5 linked regions of the Coturnix japonica genome follow. The protein of the gene in region 1 interacts with the protein of each later gene in a pairwise test. Links are inferred from orthologs where the notes say so. Each region holds a gene or a part of one and is shown in the gene's direction. Other genes may lie near its edges. The genes, in order: SH3GL1, SH2D4A, FAM102A, MTA1 and MAL2.

Region 1 (4,182 bases):
CCCTCTCCTGGGTGTCCCTTGTATTGTCACTGGGCACCACCAAACGTAGCCTGAGCCCATCCTTCTGACCCCTTCCCCTTGGATATTGATTAGTACTGATCAGATCCCTTCTCCAGTAGGGACGGCTGTGGGCTAACATTAAGCTGGCCATGTCCCTGGCTCACATCCTTGCTGGCAAAGGAGGGAACTTGCATTAGTTTGTCCTCTTGCCTGGCAGATTTGGGACTGTTGGAATGGAGATGGCACACAGTCCCTCCTTCTTTCCTCCTGAGATGAAGCCTCGTAGCTTAATTAGAGCCAGCAGGGAGAAAACCTCAGTCTTATTCTTCCTTCACAGCAGGGCACCAGTAGCATTTCTTGGATGTCAAAAGGAGGATTAAATTAGCCTGCAAGCGAATTTTCCTCCTTCACATCTCTGTGCTCTCTGAGAGAGTGCTAAGCCTCCAAAATCACTGTGGTGATCACCGTGTACAACATGGCATGCAGTCCCTGATTATGGCAGAGCTCCCCATCAGAGGCAGTATTTGCAGCTTTCTGGGCTGCCAATCTGTGGGTGGGTGGAGAAAAGCAGGGATGGAATTACTCCACTTAATTGTACTCTTCTCAGGTTTATTGCAGAGGGAAGGATCTTTCTGGAGGTGCTGCTCTGGGCTGTGTAGAAGCCCCTTTCTGGTCATGGAGGCTGCATAGCGAGCTGTCTTTTGGCATAGAAGCACAAGAGTGGGTGGTGGCAGCTGGGAGTGAGTGCCCACACAGGGTCTGGAAAGCAGAGCAACCGCTTTGTGGTTTATTTTCCCTGCTCCATAGAGGAATGTGTACTTCCCCAGCTCAGAGCTGGCAGGCAGAAGTGTGTGCTGGCACCCCAAGCACAGAGCAAAGATCCAAAAAAAGCAAGAATTCAAGTTTTGGTTGTTTGCCCATCTGCAGGCAGCTCTGCAGTGATAACACCCCTTGGAGCCCCTATTGCCTCCTGGCACACTCTGAATCCATAGTCCTGCACTTCCCATGTTCTTTCAGGTGCTGGAAAGAAAGCTGGTGAGGTCAGGAGGGCTGTGCATGGACCACTGTGAGGCTGCACACACAGAGGGATGTGTGAAGATCCATCTGGGCATCCATCTGAAAATGAAATCCAGAGTTGAGAGCTGGGCTGGATGAACCTGGAGAGCACTGACCCCAGTGTTTAAATGCCCAGAGGAACCACAGCGATCTCTTTGTGAAACATCTGAGGTCCCCAGAAAGAGAAAAAAGCCCTTGCCCAGGTGAAGTGAGGCCCTGAAAGGCTGCTGCCTTCTATCTCAGTTCTTTCAAACTCTTGCTCTAAAAGGATATTTTGGCCTTGGGATGATTTATGCTACTGTTGCTCAGTGCAGAGCTGTCATTCAGAAGAGCTGTCTGCTCTCTAAGCCTCTTCCCTGTAATGTCTGCGTGCCTTGAAGCTCTGAGCAGCTGCAGATATCCATCCACTGAGGCACGAGGAGCATATCAGCCATAGCAGTCAGTGCTCAGCCCAACACCTTGGTTTGCAGCTCATCATTTGATTTTGGAACTAAGCACTGCCCAGTGAGTGCAGTCACACGGACCTTATGGGGTATCTCTAAGTGCATTTGGAACTGGATGTTTGCCTAAAGAGTTTTTTTTTCTCCTTGTCCTCTAACAACTAAGGAACCACTGAGTCCCCATGGGCACCACAGGAAGAAAGACTTGATAAAATCAGGTATTTGATGTTGAAGTAAACAAACCTTCATTGTTTGTCCAGAGCTGGAGTTTTGACTACAAGCACGAGGAATCCTGGCAATGGCCTGTGGCGGGCATCAAGAGCTTGGGAGGCAGCAGCCATTTCCTAGACCACTTTTGATATCTGTGGAGGTAATTTAGTGTGCACGGACCCATTTTGGGGCCTGGCAGTTGCTTGTGGATGTGTTGCAGGTAGCTCTGGCCAGTCTATTGAACCCCAGGTGTTGCCTTGCCACGAGGGAACAGGGCAGGAGATATCCCCCTCCATTTGGGTTGCATGGAAGGACACTTCTTCAGTTGGATTTAATAAAGCACTTTTGACACACGTCTTTGAGCTCAGGAAGGCGAATGGTGAAGCTTTGGGAAGAAGTCTTTTCTTACACTAAATGGCATTTTGAAGCAAGCCGATAAGCCCTTCATGCAGATAGCCAAAAGCAACCCTGCCTTTCCAGCTGTGTCAAACATCTCGTGTTCACTTTGTTTTAGAACAGACGTCAGAGATACCTTGATAATTGGATCTGAACGTTTTCCTGTAGCTTCTGTAAATCTCTTTATCCTTCTCTTTAAAAAAATCTTGAAATACAGAGCCCTAGATCCTAAGCTCTCACCATCTGGATTGCAAGGAGTTGTGGTTTAAGGCTTTGAGTGGTTCTTTCTGAGCTTAGTTCTTGTACTGGCTGCTGCAAGCAGAGTATCTTAATTCCCTGTTTACTTGCATTTTGCCTTGTGTGAAATTAAAGTTGAGAGACAATGCTGTTGCTTGCTTTTCCCAGCAAGCGTTGGAGTTGGAGCTGTGCTTATGAATTTAAAGAGCTTTGTAGCTTCTGCCAGGTGGGGAATATCCTGCCTATGTCTGAAGGTTCAGCTGTGGTGCCTTGGGAGGGTAGGGGACATTTAGATTGTTTAATGGGACAGTGTTAGCAAAGAGCCACGTGTTGTTACCATGCTTTGGGCTGTTCCTACTGCCTCCTTTCTCTTGCAGGCGCTGTCTGGACCACCCCTGTTCTCTTTCCATCCCCAGGACTCTATACCTCTCTGCATGAGGTAAACAGCCACTACCATGCCTGATTCTTCCTGCCTTGTTCTTTTTCTGCAGCTTGTCAGTGAAAAGGTTGGAGGGGCAGAAGGGACCAAACTTGACGATGACTTCAGGGAAATGGAAAAGGTGAGCAAGAGATAGGAGAAATCCCTAAAATCACCCATGTCACCTTCTGTGACCTTGCCAAAATCCTGAACTGATCTTCACTGCTGCTGGATCATCTTGTTTTCCTACAGAAAGTGGATGTGACCAGCAAGGCAGTTACAGAAGTACTGGCCAGAACAATAGAATACCTGCAGCCAAACCCAGGTGAGTGGTGGGACCTCTCCTATCCTTTGCCTCCCAAAGAGGGTAAGAGGGAAATAGGCAGAAGGTGCAGAGAGACCTCAGAGAGAAACTTCACGACCTTGAGGTGTGCCACCAAGCCCATATTTGTTATCAGGTATTCTGCCTACCTTTACCTGATGTATGCTGGGCTGTCCTGTACATTTCCTGTGGCTTTCCTAATAGTCTGAGCCTAATGAGGTCCTACCCTAGCTCACAGGTGCTTTGTGATTGTAAAGCCATCTCGACCAGTGATGTATTTCTGGGCTGAAAGACACTGCTGTTGCTGTCAAACAGTGAATAAAACAGACAAATCTTTAACGTTGGATCTAGGAGAGATCTGGAGGGGACCTATTTTTACCAGGGTGTCCAGAAAAAATATAATCTCTGGGTTGGGAAGAGTCGGTTGGCTTTGTAACCACCACCTCCAGAGCCTGCTGCCCTGTGTGTTTCCAAGCAGCTTGTTCAGAGAATGCTCCAGGGACTATGGGAGGGCTGGGGAAACTCCTTTGGCCTTCACCAGTTAGCTGTAGGGATCTATATTTGTTTGCTGCCTTGGAAAAGAAACTTTACTTTTCGTAGCAAGTGATATTTCTGGTAGATTATGACAATAGCACTTCTTGGCTTTGGGAGTCACTTAAAAAAAGTGAAGTGCTGGCAGTGACCAGCAGCTGCTGGCAAGTCCAAGCAATTACAAACACGGCTGTGGCTGTTTCTTTGCCAGCTTCCAGAGCCAAGCTATCCATGCTGAACACAATGTCGAAGATCCGTGGGCAGGTGAAGAGCCCAGGCTATCCACAGTCAGAAGGGCTGCTGGGGGATTGCATGATCCGCTACGGCAGGGAGCTGGGCGAGGACTCCAACTTTGGTGAGTGCCCCGTGGGGCTGCTCCCTCCAGGAACGTGCAGATGAGACAGCAAAGTCCGGTGCCAAATTTCCAAGCTGTTCCTCTGGATTCCTAAAGGGCTCTATGACCCTTTGTATCACTTAGCAGCATGTGCCTTTGGTCCAGGCCAGTAACGAGTGCCAGATCTATAGCAGTCTCAGAGCAAATGCATGGCAGCGGCTGTGCCTCATTTCTTAAA
Region 2 (3,514 bases), on another chromosome or scaffold:
GAATCCCTAGTTTTTCAAAACTAGCTAAAAAGCAGGACTAAAACTAGCCTGGGACAAAGCACTGAACACATCATTTCTTTCACAGATGAAGGGAGGACACAGGAGAAATTCAAGAGAAGAGACTACAGTCCAGCTGAAGGCAATACCACAAAGCCATGTACCACAAAGCCATGCATGCTCAGAGAAGACGTTGCAGAAATCTGATGAGAATGAGCCTGAATGGCAAGAATCCTGTAAGATCTTAGGATGATCTTTTGTAAGAACTTTTCCTATAGGGCTTGAGAAATCTTAGAGCTCTGAGTGGTCATTTCAGTCATTCTCCTGCAAAACTGGAACTCAGTATTTCTCAGTTAGTAGGTAGAGAGTACTGTCAAAAAACACAGAGATGCAGCATCAGAAAATTTTCCGAGTCCACACAGCATTGAAACTAGAGCTGGGCAGTGAGATGGCAAATTTATCCTACAGAAAATTCTCCACTTGTAAATATTTCCCATTTTCAGTCTCTTCTGTATTTCGATTAAAGAGCTTTTGTTTTTAATTGAAAGATAATAGATTTAAATATTAAGCAATGTCAAGCAGAATGAGTCTTGCTGGCATTTGACAGCCCTCAGATACCATATGAAAATGATAGGACCCACATGAGCGTAGCCAGGGTAATTAATTTTAAACTAGAAGTAGGCCCTTGGCAGAAACTTGAAGTAGATGTTGCTCATGTGGAAAAGAATAATAGGTAGTGAGGACAAACTAAAAGGCATAATTTCAAAAGCACCTGGTTGATAGCAAACTTTTCAGACATCAGAAATGAGTGGGGAGGGCTTTTGCCACTTACTTAATTCTGTGCAGAAGATCCTGAGGCCTGAGTAAGGCTCCTTCTTACACAACAGAACTGTATTGTGGTGAGGTAAGCTGATCTGAGACCTCAGAAATAATGTGAAAGATGAAAAAAAGTATTGCATAAAACACAAAAAAGGGGCCACTCCAAATCTCCCTGCTTTCTACCTTCCCTTCCTTGAGGTAGGACTTGATGATCTTGGAAGTCTTTTCCAACCTAAGCAATTCTATGATTCCCTGCGAGGCACAGTCCTCTCATCTGGTTCCATTTCAGACACAAAAAAATCTCATTGATCCAGAGCCCTGCCACACATTGCTAATGTAAAGATTTAAACAACTGGATCAGAAATGACAAAACAGTGTAAGACTTACATTAACGTCTACCACTGCTGCCAAGTATGTCCTGAACTCTCTACTTAAGTTATTACGATGACTACATTTCCTTCTAGGATCTCTCATAGTAACCACATACCTCAAAGGTGATTTTTCAGTGTAGCCTGAGTTGAAAAGATATTTCAAACTTGACTCCTTTTGAGGGAATCTTGCTGTGCAGCTTTCTCAGAGACTGGAACAAAGGGTCACAAGCTTAGTACACAGAAGATATTGAGATACACCCTGACACTCTGTTTGCCTTTGTTTCCATCCAGGTTCACGTTCTGCTCCTCACATCTTCCTTTCCTGGGGAGAAAGAAAACTGAAGTCAAACTTGATGCTTTTTTTTCCCTCACTGTTCAGTAGATGGCAATACTGTACTATCATTTGTCTCCACTTTAGGCCAAACCTTTTTTGTTTCTAATTAAAAAATTGAATTTGATTACAAAAGCACAGAAATCACTAAGCATAGCTCAGGCTGGAGAGCCAGTTACTCAACAAAAACAAACAAACAATAATATCCAGCTAAGTTCTCTACTCCACAAAACAGTTACAGCAACACTCCCTTCTCTTTGCAAGGCCCATCAGGATTTTCAAATCCTTTAGAGGATTCATTAGTGGTCGTTTCAGCAATTTTTTTGCCTCCCCGGTCTCCTGGAAATAGAAACAAATGTTTTTGTTCATGTATTGCTGTGGCTTTTCCAACATTATCTTACCACATGCAGTGTAAGATCTCTCTAACTCCTGATCTTATCAAAATTGCAAGGACTGCCTCAGTGCACAAATTAAAATGAAAGGCTGAAGGGCCCTTTGCTTCTCCCATCCTCCTTTCTCCCACCCCTCCAGCTTTTCAAGAAAGACATAATGGTACAATTTGTAATTGAGTGAGGATTTTAATTTGACAAAGTAATTGTGCTTCCCTCCTCCCCCCCCCCCCTCCCAAATTTCATTCCAAAAAGTCTGTGGGCCAGCTGAAAACATTTATTTACCTGATTGGATAACTGTTCCTTCTTGCTCAGGTCTCCGCTCACACAAAAGGCATCACAGAAATTTATGACTGAACCAAGTCACATGAAACAAAACCAAGTCATTTCTAAGTACAAAGTTAGAACCCAGATTTTTATCTGTTGAAGGAATAAGAATTGGGTTCTTTTAAAACAGTAGATGCCCAAAAGTGATGGGAGAGAGGTAACAAACGTTGTTACAGATAAGTGAATCTTTCATTCAGTGGCCAGAGTAGCTGAGTCACTCAAGGCTTGCGAGGAAGATAAATGACTTCCAATACAAGCAACCTAAGATGCCTGCTTGGAAATAGAGGAGAGGAAGTACCTTAGTTCCAAAGCTCTCTCCCTCCACAGTAACACTGTTTGTTCCTAGTGCTGGGACACAGAGAGAACCTAAATGCTCCGAAATGCGTTATTTCTCACCTCCAGCTATCAGAGAGATGGCTAAGCAGCAGCAAGCTCAGAACTTGCCTGCTTGTTCACTCCAGTATGACTGCTTTTCTGTTCCAGTGCGGAAATCCAAGGCAGCAGATGAGAAGAGACGCTCCCTCGCACGACAGGCCAGAGATGACTACAGGAGGCTTTCACTGCAGGGAGCCCACAGAGGGAAGCAGGCAGACATATCCAAGAACGCCACAGCAGGAGATCGGCGACCGCTCCAATACCCTCCTCTCCCACCCAAGCCTAAACTTCTACCTCCTGTGACGACGAATGGCAGAGCAGTTAGGTGAGAAAAATGTGCACTGTTGAAGGGAAGGGAAAGGGGATGAGATACTTCTGCTCTGGCAAGGGCTGGTTGAGATGAAGATGCCTGTTCTCTTCATACAGAGGAAACACTCTACTGGGAAAAATAAGAAGGCTAAACTATATTCCAGCATAGGGTATGAAGACTGTGGCACTAAAAACAAAGACAATGGCACATTTACTGAGTACCAGCATCACAAGATTTGCATTGCTTGCTTTTGCCCAACTGAGAGAAATGTCCCTAAATCATGAGAGCTGCTAATCAGCAAGCCCTCAGGTCCAACACCTCAACTATCTCAGTTGCTCCTAGTCACCATTCTCTTAGCTCTGCCTTTCTTAGCCATCTCTCCAAACACCCAGCCTCTCAATTATACTGAGCTCGTAGAGGTACAAGGCATTTTCCAACAGTCAAGTTCTCTTTTTGCCATATGTGAAAGTCAGATTCAGTGACAAGTTTATATAACAGAACACCCTAAGCCTAAAATATGTAGTACGTCCTCTTTGATAGGTGTCCACTGAAAACCATACAATTTTGTTCATAGCTGCATTACTGTAAGCCTTCT
Region 3 (4,141 bases), on another chromosome or scaffold:
ATCCCATCCAGGCAAATATAACCTATTTAGAAGCTGAGCTCTTACCCAATAACAGAAGACACAGAAAGCAAAAAACCAGCCCATTTCTATCAGTGTCCTGAGGCCCTGAAAACACTGGGTATCAACTGATGGGATGGATTCAGGCACTGCCTTTAAAAGCAGCCTCCACAAACAAGTATGGAAACACTGACATCTCCTGCAATGGTTTCACTGCGCCAACGCCAGCAATGCTTTCCCAGGCGTAGGTTTGTGTCTGTTTAACCTGGTGAGCAAGAACTCTGACAGCGTTTGCTCTAATCCAGCCTTTATCTTCCATCCACACATGTTGCCGTGTACTTTTCCTAGCTGATTTTCCTTTTAAAGGCTCGCTCTGCGGTAGCATTATTTGATAGCTCTGGTATTGTCTGTATAGATGGCAGAGATTAAAGGGAAGGAATCTGGGCATCAAAGCCTGGCAAAGCGAGGGATCCCAGGCTCTCATCCAAGCTTTGCCAGACATGCAAAGCAGCGTTGGGAAAAGTCCCTACCGTGTGAGTTCTGTGCAACACATCCCTGACTTTACAAATAGGCAAATCACGTCAATGACTGCAGCCTCCTTCAGGACAAGGAGAGACATTTTGTTCCGCTTGCCCTTAAACAATGGAATCCTACCTAACCAGGGCACCCAGCCCCGAGCACGGGACGGGGCAGCAGATGGAATAACAGGAGGGAAGCACAGTTGGCTGATGTGTTCTGCTGGTTACCACATCTCACACGTGGAAAGTGAGTCTGGTTGGGCCTTTCCTTGGAGAGCTGCTGGTGAAGGAGGCCAGGCTGCCAACCTGCAATGCTGAGGAGGACATAGAGATATCAGAGCTGCCATCACCTCACCTGCAGCACACAGGGAGGCACAGACACTTCACCTCAGGCCCAGCTCCATGGGCACAGGCCTGCTGTCCCCTCAGCGAGCCCCACGCACCCCACAGCCGCCTAAAGAGCTGTTTAACCTGAGTGAACGCACATGGGCCGAACCGATGTGAACCAGAACCCTCCAAACGGCCAAACCGATGTGAACCAGGACCGCCCCAAACGGCCACCCCGACCCGCCCGCTGTGGAGACCCCGAACCCACTACGGAGCCCCCTCGTCCCGCCCACTCCCTCAGCCACGGGGGCGGGGCTTGCCTTGAACCGACATCCACCTCCTCCAATCCCCGCCCTGTTTTCCCCCCCCGCTCTAGAAGAACCAATCAAAACCTCGCTCTTCCCGTCCCGCCTCTTAAATGCTGCCAATCAGGTGGCGCGCCTCTCGTCCTCCCCTCCCCCCGTCCCCGGGGAGGAAGGGGGGTTACGTAGTGTCGGGTTGGTATTCACGAAGCGCGGTAGTGCTTTTGCGCTGTCGTAGGGCTGCCTGCGGCGTTGGCGTAGCGGCCGCAGTTGGCGTAACTCTAGTAGGGGCGGCTGTGGCGGGGAGCAGCGGCGGCCGAGCGAGGTGAGGGCAGGAGGTGCGAGCGGGGCGGCAAGAGGGACGAGGGGCCGGGATGGGAGCTGGGAGGAGGGCTGAGATCCCACTGCGGGTCTAACCATTGGGTAAGGGTTGGGAGTGGGGCTGAGAGCTGGCCTGGGGGTGCAGGGGACAGGCTGCGAGCTTGGGGCAGCCGAGTGTGTGGGTCTGAGGCCTGGGGAGCTGAGTGAGGGGGGGGAGCAGGCCGAGACCCGGCTCAATACACGGGCAGCACGGCTCAATACACGGGCAGCACGGCTCCTGGGGCACAGCGGGTCTCTATGAGCCTCCCTGCTCTCCTACAGCAGCAGGAGTGAGGTTATAACCGCGTATCCCTGCAGGCAGCTTTGCCCTACGTAGCCCTGCTTTGCAGCTCTCAGTATCGGCTGCTCGGTGTTTATAGCCTCGTTGCTTTTTGATGCTAATAAGCCCTAAGCCTCCATGGCTTGGTTGTTGCATAAATATGTAGTGAAACCACTGTTGCTGGCCCCCAAAGGGAGTTATTGGGTCACTTCTTGGTGCAGAGCTGATGCTGTAAAGCAGTTCAGCTCAGTGGGCCTGGCAGATGGACACCCGATGACCTGATTTGGTTGTTGTGCTGTGTAATCTGGAGCAGGCTGCTTTTTCTTTCTCTTTTCCTCCTCTGCTGGTTTCTCTGTTTATGAGATACAGGTGCTAACACTTAGGGCTGGTCGGAAAAACAGAAAAGAAACAGACTATGCGTTTCCTGAGACAGAGTTACGTGTGCTGGTTAGACTGATGTGGGCTGTAAACTGCTTCAGAAGATGACGGGTGAAAATAGAACAGATTTTTTATGAGCTGCTTTGCAAAACAGGAATTATGAGGGGCATGACAGCAGCGAAGCTTGCCCCAGGCAAATGGGGGAAAGAGGGTATTGGGACCTGGCTAATTGGGGCCATACCTCTTAAGATTGGCATGAGTCTGTGCTGAATATTACCCATCCAAACAGGTTTTAGAGAAGGAGGAGGAGCCTGAGACTGCCTGGGACTAATTTACTCATTTCCCTCCCAAAGGCTGACCTGAGGACCTGTACCAAGGTGTAGCACAGGAAGAGGAGAGAGAACCTGGAAGCATTGTGTATGTGCTGCACACAGACCTAAGGCTTCTTCAGAGACTCACGATGATTTCCTACAAGAGATGCCTTCTGGAGGGGTCCTGCTGAAGTCGGGGCATTGCAGCCTCTAACTGGGACAGCTCCTGCTGGTCTGGAGCTGAGACTTCCTTATCACCCTTCCTTTTCCCTTGGAGATGTTGCAGAGATTTAACCTGACCTCTTCCTCCTCACCTGAAGCCTGTCGTGGCAATGATCCCGCAGCCAGATCCGACCACCAAAGAGAAGAAGATCGTGCATTTGAGGCTGGGCCGTCGTTGTAACTGAACTGGAACTCACTCCCTGCTTACGCTCCAGGAACAAACGCTGTTCCTTTCCTTGTCTGTGTGTGTTTTGAGCCACTCCTCTCTCATCTTGTTTGGAGTTCCTGGGCTTTCCACGCTGAATTTGCCCATGGCTTTCCTGATGAAGAAGAAGAAATTCAAGTTTCAGACATGTTTTACTCTCGAAGAGCTAACTGCTGTCCCCTTTGTGAATGGGGTCCTGTTCTGCAAAATCAGGCTGTTAGATGGAGGTGACTTTGCTAGCTTATCTACCAGGTAAGAACCTGCTTGCAAATTTTCTTCCTGGCCATTCTTTTTATTTTCGTGATTATTCTTCACTCAAGTGCTCTGGCATATGGCTACCACTTGCCTATTCCTTGAGCTGTTTTCACTTGTTCTGTTGGGGGCCCCATGTGCCGTATCATTTTTCAGATACAGGGAAGAACTAAGCTTGGAGATTGTTGGCTGATAGAGCTGCGCTGTGATTTACAGAGACATGGGGAGGGTGTAGGAGGTCTCACACTTGAAGGAGTTGGGTTTTCTGGTTGAAGTCCACATAAAAACACCCTCCTTCCATGTTTTCATGTGCTGTTTTAGGTGTTGTGCTGCCCTGCTTTCGTGCAGTGCTCGAAAATGAACTCTGTAGGAAGCTGCATGTATAAAAGCAAATCACCCTCCCCAGCTTTGTGCTCTCCGTGTGTTTCAAAGTTACTTTTCTTGATAAGAGTGTCAGGAGCTTGCTTTGCATTGCAAATTGCTGTGCAAGGGAAAACTGCTGCCTGGAGTCAAAGTTGTCAGTGCTAAAGATACAGTTTATCTCCATGAACAAATAGCATTGCATCTCCCCAGTTTATAGCTGCAGTGTTTTCTTTTTAATGATTTATCGTATGGGTATCATTCTGCCACATGGTTTATAAGGTTATTCTGTCATCATCTATCGGCGTTTCTCAGGCTCCTTCAGGCAGACCTGCTACTAATTGCTAATAATAAAAACCTGCTTTGTTTCCAGCTGTGCACATAGATTATCACCAGCAGTATGCAAATGTGAATTCCATAGCAGCCTGGACTTGCTTTCTTTCTGCCCCAGTATGTGAAGGAAACCTTCCATGGCATTCAAACTTGTTTTTTAACTTCCCTGAGTAACTACTCAATTTTAAAGGTACAGTGTGTGCTTATGTTTGCTGGTAAGTGTTTTAGACCAGAACTAAAACCTGGTTTGGTCTGATTTTCCTCTTTGTGGTGCAGTGCATTGTGCTTTCTCATAT
Region 4 (3,514 bases), on another chromosome or scaffold:
AAATTAGCATAAAAGCTTTCTACTATATATAATATGGTAAAAATGTAAGCTAGTAATACTTTATTTTCTGTTTTTGTTCTATTTTTAGGATTTCTTCTTCTATTCACTAGTGTACGATCCTCAACAAAAGACTCTACTTGCTGATAAAGGAGAAATCCGAGTTGGAAACAGATACCAGGCAGATATAACAGACTTATTAAAAGAGGGTAATTTCCATAATTTAAGTTGTCAGGAGGCCATGTGGAATGCAGCCACTTTTATGTATGCAGCCTGTGTGGGAGACAGAGGTTCCTACCACCACGTCCTGTGTGCATCACTGCTTTGGTTTGTTAGGGACTGAAGCAGTTGCCCACTGCATGCAATTAGTTGTGTCTCAGCCCAGGCTCTAAGCGGGCATTTGTCCAAATCATAAAAGTTGTTGAAACAAATTGAATTAATTGCCTCTCTCAGAGCTTGCGCTCATTTTAGGAGATTTCAGAATTTCTATGGGAAGCACAGATTTCCATCGCATCTGTATAGCCTTTGTGTTTTTAATCGAGCCTCGCTTCCCTGTGAGAGCCGCTCCCAAATTATTGCCAATTAAATGCTGTCTCCCCACATCAATTTGCCCATTATTGCTGGATGCCTTTTCCTCAGAGCCCCCTGCCTGTCTGCTGCTCTTGGCTTCCAGCCTAGACTTCTCACCTGCAGAACAAGCAGGAGGAATTTGCTGCCTTGAGCACGTTGTGAGACCTCAGCCTGCCCTGCTCATGAAGCAGAAGGAACACAAGGACACATGCTCAGGAAAATGGGCTGTTAGTTAACAGATACCAGCTTCACACTGGTTCTTGCACTGCAATGGGTGGAAGAGCTCTTCTCTGAGACCTGTGTAGGGCTCAGGCCAATCTGTTGATGCTCTCAGAGAGCTGGTGTTATGAGCCATGTTGAAAGGGGCTCTACAAAACTCCCCAGGCAGAGAGGTGAAAGCAGTGAGGCACCTCAGTCTGCTTCAGAGCTTTGCAGATGCATAAAACAGATACTGTTGGGCTAATGTTAGAATAAGCCAACAAATTGGTTGGGACTCTTGTTTAATTTGTCTGTGGCATTTATTTGGCAGCTGGGCTGGCCTCCTAAGTGAGGATGAACTAATTTGAAAGGCATTCTCCTCCTTCAGCCATCAACATGGGAATTCAGAGAAGGATAATCTCCAGATGTTTCAAAAGGGGTTTGAAATTAAAAAGAGAGACTCAGCTCCTGTATTTTTTCCAAGATATTTTGGTTTGTTTAGCATTGGGAGAGTAGAAGTAAAAGAATCTGATGCTATGATTTGCCCCTTAGAAAGCAGCTGCTGCAAACAGGGCCAGCTACCCTTTGTCTGCTCAGAGCAGCTGGGAGTGTGCCTGCTTTCCTGGAACTGCGGCCAGGTAGAGGAGAAGGAGAGAGAATCAGGGGAGGAGGCTGAAGAGAGGAGGCTGTTTGGGGGAAGGACGTGCTCTGTTTCCCATCACTTGTGCCATTAGATATCAGCTCTTCAGCATCCGGTGGCCTAATTTGGATGAGTTGGGTTGATGCATCTGTCAAGCTGAAATTGTCTCAGCCAAATGGATGAATGAAATTTTCACTGTCAAGGCAGAGTATCTGAGTTGATTTGGTGGTTAAATAATTGTGAGATAAGAAACCAGGCAAGTAATTTTATTTCCAAACAGCCACGCTGAGCGTTTCTAACATGTTTTTCAACCAGGTGAGGATGATGGAAGAGATCAGTCAAAACTTGAAACAAAAGTTTGGGAAGCCTTCAACCCACTAGTAGACAAGCAGATAGACCAGTTCTTGGTGGTAGCACGGTAAGAGCAATTTATCACTTCTTTGAATAAGGTTTTAGTAACTCATCTTTTCTAAGCACTTTATTTTTGGTGTGTTCTTTATACTTTACTGGTACGAATGCTGGTTTGGTTGCTTGATTCATGTGTTTCATTTTGAAATGATGGACGTGTTAACATGCCTTCCTGGGAACTGCATGACTTTGTGAACAGCTACTTGGATTTACAGCTTTTACTTTCAAAAAGTTAATCATTTTCTTCTATCTTATGTGAAAATGATCCTGTATCTGGTGAGGTTTTCCAAGTTCTTTGGCCAGCAGTGAGCTGAATTCCTGACAGTTCATTAGAGTCCACTTTGTCCCTTTTTTCAAATCCAGCCACGTTTCAACATGCGATGATAGTTAAGTTGTAATAGTTAAAAGCGAAGATGTTGGAATCTAGGCACTAGAAAACAGGTAGAACGAATAAAGTAAATCCCTGCAAATGAGTACAGATGAGGAGTGGATGAGTACAGATGAGGAGTGGTGAGTTTTATGCTTCTACTTAAACGCAAGGCGGTCTGTCCATCAGTGTTTGCTTTATAAAATGCTTGTGACCCTTTTCAGTGTTGTTTGTTTATATGAACAGAAGCTGATACTAAAAGTTAATGTCTACAATTAAACAAGGAGGTAGTGCTCTCCAAACTGTCTCCTGGGTAAGTTTTTAAGACTGCGGAAGCATGGGAGGAAAGCAGTGTGAGTAGTAGATGGTTAGTTAGACCATCTATAGTCAGTGGAGCAAGTTGCTATTAGATATGGGGAGGAAGGGGGTGTGTTTTCCCCCCCCTCACTCCGCACACACATCTTGAGTTACCACACTGCTGAACTTTCCTCTTGAATTTTCTTGGGTGTGGTATTGCTGTGTCTATAGTGGGTTAGTTAATGGGGTGTCTCCTGAGGAGATAACATGAGAGCTCATGTGGAAGAAACTGTCTGGAACGGACTCTTAATTCTGATTGGAGCTGTTGAATGATGCAAAAAGAATGCATTTATGAAACAATAATAAATGCTTTCAACGCGTTGAATGATACAGACTTAGGAAAATACTAGGGGGAAAGAAAAGGGCAGAGTTAAGGAGAATTGAGTTAAAATGTGGAGATTTAAGTGTGCAAGACAAGAAGTTTCTGTGCTCCATAAGTAGTGCCTCCTCTTTATTTCTATGGAAACTGCAACAGATACAAAGAGCACAATAACGCTGTTTGGTAGAGCAAATTCTCAGCTGCAAAATGCTGTTTTTCAGCATAGTCACCACCATTAGCTATGCATTTTTTCCAGCAATGAACAAGAGCCTGTGTGTCACGCTCATAGAAATCTGCAGCAGCAGTGGTGACCCACTGTTTCACAGCTGCTACGATGGTGGTGTTGCTAGGAAAAAAGCGCCTGTGCAGCCCATCTTTCATCAGCCCAAATAGATGGAAATCAGAAGGTACCAAATCTGGACTATATGGTGGGTGTGGTAGGACAGTCCAGCCAAGACTGGCAGTGTGCTCCACTGTCTTCAAACTGGTATGGGGCCTGGCTTAAGGCTGTCATCTTCTCTGACCTGACTGTGGATATTTGAGCCTTCAGCTTAGTCAGCATGGTGATGTAGCAGTCAGAGCTGATGGTATGTCTGGCTTTCTGGAAATCCAGAAGGATCACCTATGTCGTGTCCTACAAGGCAGTGCACTTTACGTG
Region 5 (3,514 bases), on another chromosome or scaffold:
GAGCTAGCCTGTATGTCCCCTGTTTTTAACCTAAGCCTCACTAGGGGAGAATTCTGTAAGCTCCCACTTTTAGCTTTAAAGTGATCTGAAAAGGTCAGCACACGTGCTTGTAGATGAGTACATGCCTCTTAATTTGAAAGAATGCAGGGTTTGGGGAGAGGGAGGGCTGCCCTTTATTACTAATTATGTTGAGTTGCTTATAATTGTAGGCAGTTATGAAAATATGTTGTGCTTAAGCATTGCTTATGAACGATTATTATCACTGCTTGTTTCATGTTTCTGTGTTGGATTTCATTTATGCTGAGACTAGAAGGGTTAGATATGTATAGCAGCCTGGACTGAACCTGTTGTTTGCTTTTCAGGACTTCCTTTTCCATGGTGCTACTTTTGTCTTTTATTTTGGAGCTTTTCTACTGCAAGCAGCAACTACATCCCTGCATCACTACCCTCGCAGATTAAATTCCACCACATCTGTGACTATTCTGGGTGATCATGAATATAACATAAGCATAGCAGCCTCGGTATGTATTTCATGAACTTGTACCTAGCAGTGGAATTCTGATGTAAGCACTGGTAACCAGCCTTTCAACTTGGGAACTGCGCTGGAATGGGAAGAGGGATTGTGAGGAAGAAAATAGTCTTTGAAAGCAGCAAACATTCTGGAATAATCAGCCATTCTTACAGTGGCATGCAAAAAAAGTGCAGTGATCTGTTAATGGAGCCTAACGAGATAGATGCTTAGATGGTACTGTTTACAGTAGTGTTTTAAGTCTGTGATTACTACAGAATCTAGTTTTTAGGTGAGATATTTAGTAAAAATAATGCTAGGTATTGAAATAGAAGCAAAAGATGAAAACTGAGCCTTCATCAAAGTGTCAGGTATGACTTTCAAGCCTGCTCTCAAACTTGTAATTGCTTGGGTGTTTTGATACCTTTTAGATAGTCCTGAGCATGCCATAGGGAAAAATGTTGGACTAGCTCCTTATAAAGCTCCAGGTACATATTTTCTGATGTCAAGCATAAAAAGCAGCTGCAAGGGGCGTGCTATCTCCTGTGGCAAGGATTAGAGAGCTTTTATTAATCAATAAAGCTCTCTAAGCTAAGCTCAGATTGCCTTTTTATCACTATAATTGCATCATCACTGAATCACCATATCTGGTGATGTGTGTGTTCATTGCTGAGTCAGAAAATACACAGACCTTCAGCTTTCTCCCTAGCTGGACTCCTGAATGGCAAGTAGTGGTGTGCCAGCAGAATTAATTGGAAGAACTGAAACTGCTGCTTGTTTTGTGTTTTGGGTTGGTTGGTTGGTTTGGTTATTGTTGTGTTTCTGAGTTTGGGCTGTGGGATTTGTTTGTTTGTATTTGTATCTTCCAGGGCATCTCACATACTTAAAGGAACTTCCTACATTTATTAAGTTTCTGAATCATTTTGGGGGTATCTCTTGTCTTCAGAACTAGATAACCGTAGATTTTACACAATAAATACCTTCAGCTCATATTAGAGTGGGTCAAAATGAATGAACCCAACGTCTAAGAGTTACACCGTTTCTTCAAGATTAGGAAAGAAAGGCCTTGTACTTTGGCAAGCTAGGCTCTGAAAGAGTGAATTGAGTATGTCAGTCTTCAAGACACAAATTCCTCACCATTACCCACTTGCCTGTGACATAGTCCAGCACAAATTCCTGTATGACCATGGCTGGTAGACAGATGATGTCTCTCAACTGTGTCTAAACTGGTGGAGAGCTTTGAATTAATTACATGTCTCAAATTCCATACTTCAAAGTAGCTCCGCAGTCCTTGTTTCAGTGTGTTCAGATCTTACTTGATACGTGGTAACTCATGTGTCTCTCCAACAACAAAGTACTGAGGAATACAAAGACTCTTTACCTCTTTCATACTCTCCTTCTTTTCTAAGAAGAGTTCAGTACTTCACAACCCTTGGATCTTTGTTCAGATGAAGTAAGAGGATGTGATTTTGTAACTCACCTTATCTGTTAATTAAGAGATGGTGGGAGATGGTGAATCAAATGATGTAGTTTTTAGTATCTTCTTCTTTTTTTTTTTTTTTTTTTTTTTTTTAATTAAAAGTACCTGATTAGGAAGTCAGAGCATACAAATAAACAAAAAGTGACCCTTTGAAACACATCAGTAAAACAGTCTACAAACAAATAAGATAAGGCCTTGCTAACTTTTCCATCTGAAAATGACTTTCTAGTTGTGTATACTGCAATTAAAATGTATCTTTTGCTTTTATGAATAATACTCCTAGGATCTATTCAAACCTTGATTTATCAAATCAGTGCATGTGTGGAATCAAGGTTGTTATCGTTGGATCAAATCTATATGTTCTAAGAGAAAGTGTCCTTGATCAGTAGTGGACAATATGAGACATTTTTGTTACTTCCAACTCAGTTTCTAACTTCTCCCTTCTTGTTTATGTTACATACTCACTTTTGCCGTGGCACTATCTACAGTTCTTATCTGTTCATTTTCTTGAGCTGTAGCATCTTCCTGACATTTCTCAACAATCTGTCATGTCTTTTTCTCTGGTTGAAGAGGCCCAACTGTTTCTTTCTGCAAGTAAAAGGCTCTGCTGTTTGGAGGGACATCTCGTTCATTGTTTGCCAGTAAAGGCATTTACCTGGATACTTTCTAATGAAATACTAATCTTAGATTCTCAGTCTAGATAAGAGGAAACTGAAATATCAAGCGCTTAATTTCTACAATAACACACAACCTCTTCTGTTTATATCCTATGTCAAAATATCTTCAGCAGCTAGCAGCTAAGATAATAACAATAAGGTGGGCTTAAAACAGAGTTTATGAGAAGGCTTCAGATGATACCAGGTCTGTCTTTACTACTGGGGGGGTACCTTTTGAGTCGTTTGTGTTGTTACACTAATTTAAAATAGAAAAAAATATGTAGAGCAATATAATGTGTGATTCACTTTTTTTCTCTTCTTTCTCTTTTCTCCCTGCTCATCCTTTAGATTTTTGCCTTTGCAACAGCTGTTTGTTATGGTTTCAGCACAGCCCTGGCTTTGAGGAGATGGAAGCTATAGCAGTTGAAGAGACTTTGATTCCCAAGAGTTCAACTTCAGATCAAATTAAGTACTACTTGTCTGTTTTACTGTAATGTAATTCCAAAAAAGACTTTTTGCTTAAAATTCGTTTCCAAGTGCTGAAATGCAAATAACCCTTAATCAGGATTTCTTTAACAGAAGGTTCTGTCTCTTCCTCTTTTTTATTTTTTACTTTCTTTGGGAACTCCTTAGAAACGTTGTTTGTTGAATTGTAATCCAGAGTTCAGAGATAAACAGATGTTACAAGCAGATAACCGAATTCTGGTGCTAAACCAGAAGAACAGGAAGAAAACTGAAACTAAACAGACATGTTACCTGCATAGGCAGCTAAAAGAGCTACCCCCTTGTTAAGGCCTAGGATTGAGCTCTACGTGTGCTGCAGCATTACAGTGTGTTCCACACAGGTAGGACCTTGAGGCTCTTTGTAGA

Evidence for each region.
Region 2: the proteins of SH3GL1 (region 1) and SH2D4A interact in binary tests that used the Homo sapiens proteins (3 or more experiments, as listed by UniProt). The two-hybrid records come from large-scale screens. The link is inferred for Coturnix japonica from reciprocal best matches to the Homo sapiens genes SH3GL1 and SH2D4A.
Region 3: the proteins of SH3GL1 (region 1) and FAM102A interact in binary tests that used the Homo sapiens proteins (3 or more experiments, as listed by UniProt). The two-hybrid records come from large-scale screens. The link is inferred for Coturnix japonica from reciprocal best matches to the Homo sapiens genes SH3GL1 and EEIG1.
Region 4: the proteins of SH3GL1 (region 1) and MTA1 interact in binary tests that used the Homo sapiens proteins (3 or more experiments, as listed by UniProt). The two-hybrid records come from large-scale screens. The link is inferred for Coturnix japonica from reciprocal best matches to the Homo sapiens genes SH3GL1 and MTA1.
Region 5: the proteins of SH3GL1 (region 1) and MAL2 interact in binary tests that used the Homo sapiens proteins (3 or more experiments, as listed by UniProt). The two-hybrid records come from large-scale screens. The link is inferred for Coturnix japonica from reciprocal best matches to the Homo sapiens genes SH3GL1 and MAL2.

What each region holds. Positions count from the first base shown.
Region 1 is NC_029543.1:1,611,423-1,615,604, reverse strand, and holds the start of SH3GL1 (endophilin-A2), read left to right. Parts: upstream 1-1,379; 5' UTR 1,380-1,794; coding exon 1,795-1,866; intron 1,867-2,830; coding exon 2,831-2,899; intron 2,900-3,009; coding exon 3,010-3,082; intron 3,083-3,821; coding exon 3,822-3,965; intron 3,966-4,182. UniProt on the Homo sapiens protein: Implicated in endocytosis. May recruit other proteins to membranes with high curvature.
Region 2 is NC_029519.1:30,066,575-30,070,088, forward strand, and holds part of SH2D4A (SH2 domain-containing protein 4A), read left to right. Parts: intron 1-85; coding exon 86-233; intron 234-2,717; coding exon 2,718-2,934; intron 2,935-3,514. UniProt on the Homo sapiens protein: Inhibits estrogen-induced cell proliferation by competing with PLCG for binding to ESR1, blocking the effect of estrogen on PLCG and repressing estrogen-induced proliferation. May play a role in T-cell development and function.
Region 3 is NC_029532.1:3,586,141-3,590,281, forward strand, and holds the start of FAM102A (protein FAM102A), read left to right. Parts: upstream 1-1,330; 5' UTR 1,331-1,482; intron 1,483-2,451; exon of another isoform or gene 2,452-2,515; 5' UTR 2,516-3,006; coding exon 3,007-3,152; intron 3,153-4,141. UniProt on the Homo sapiens protein: Key component of TNFSF11/RANKL- and TNF-induced osteoclastogenesis pathways, thereby mediates bone resorption in pathological bone loss conditions.
Region 4 is NC_029523.1:3,943,577-3,947,090, reverse strand, and holds part of MTA1 (metastasis-associated protein MTA1), read left to right. Parts: intron 1-88; coding exon 89-206; intron 207-1,720; coding exon 1,721-1,823; intron 1,824-3,514. UniProt on the Homo sapiens protein: Transcriptional coregulator which can act as both a transcriptional corepressor and coactivator. Acts as a component of the histone deacetylase NuRD complex which participates in the remodeling of chromatin.
Region 5 is NC_029517.1:122,955,369-122,958,882, forward strand, and holds part of MAL2 (protein MAL2), read left to right. Parts: intron 1-362; coding exon 363-521; intron 522-2,992; coding exon 2,993-3,064; 3' UTR 3,065-3,514. UniProt on the Homo sapiens protein: Member of the machinery of polarized transport. Required for the indirect transcytotic route at the step of the egress of the transcytosing cargo from perinuclear endosomes in order for it to travel to the apical surface via a raft-dependent pathway.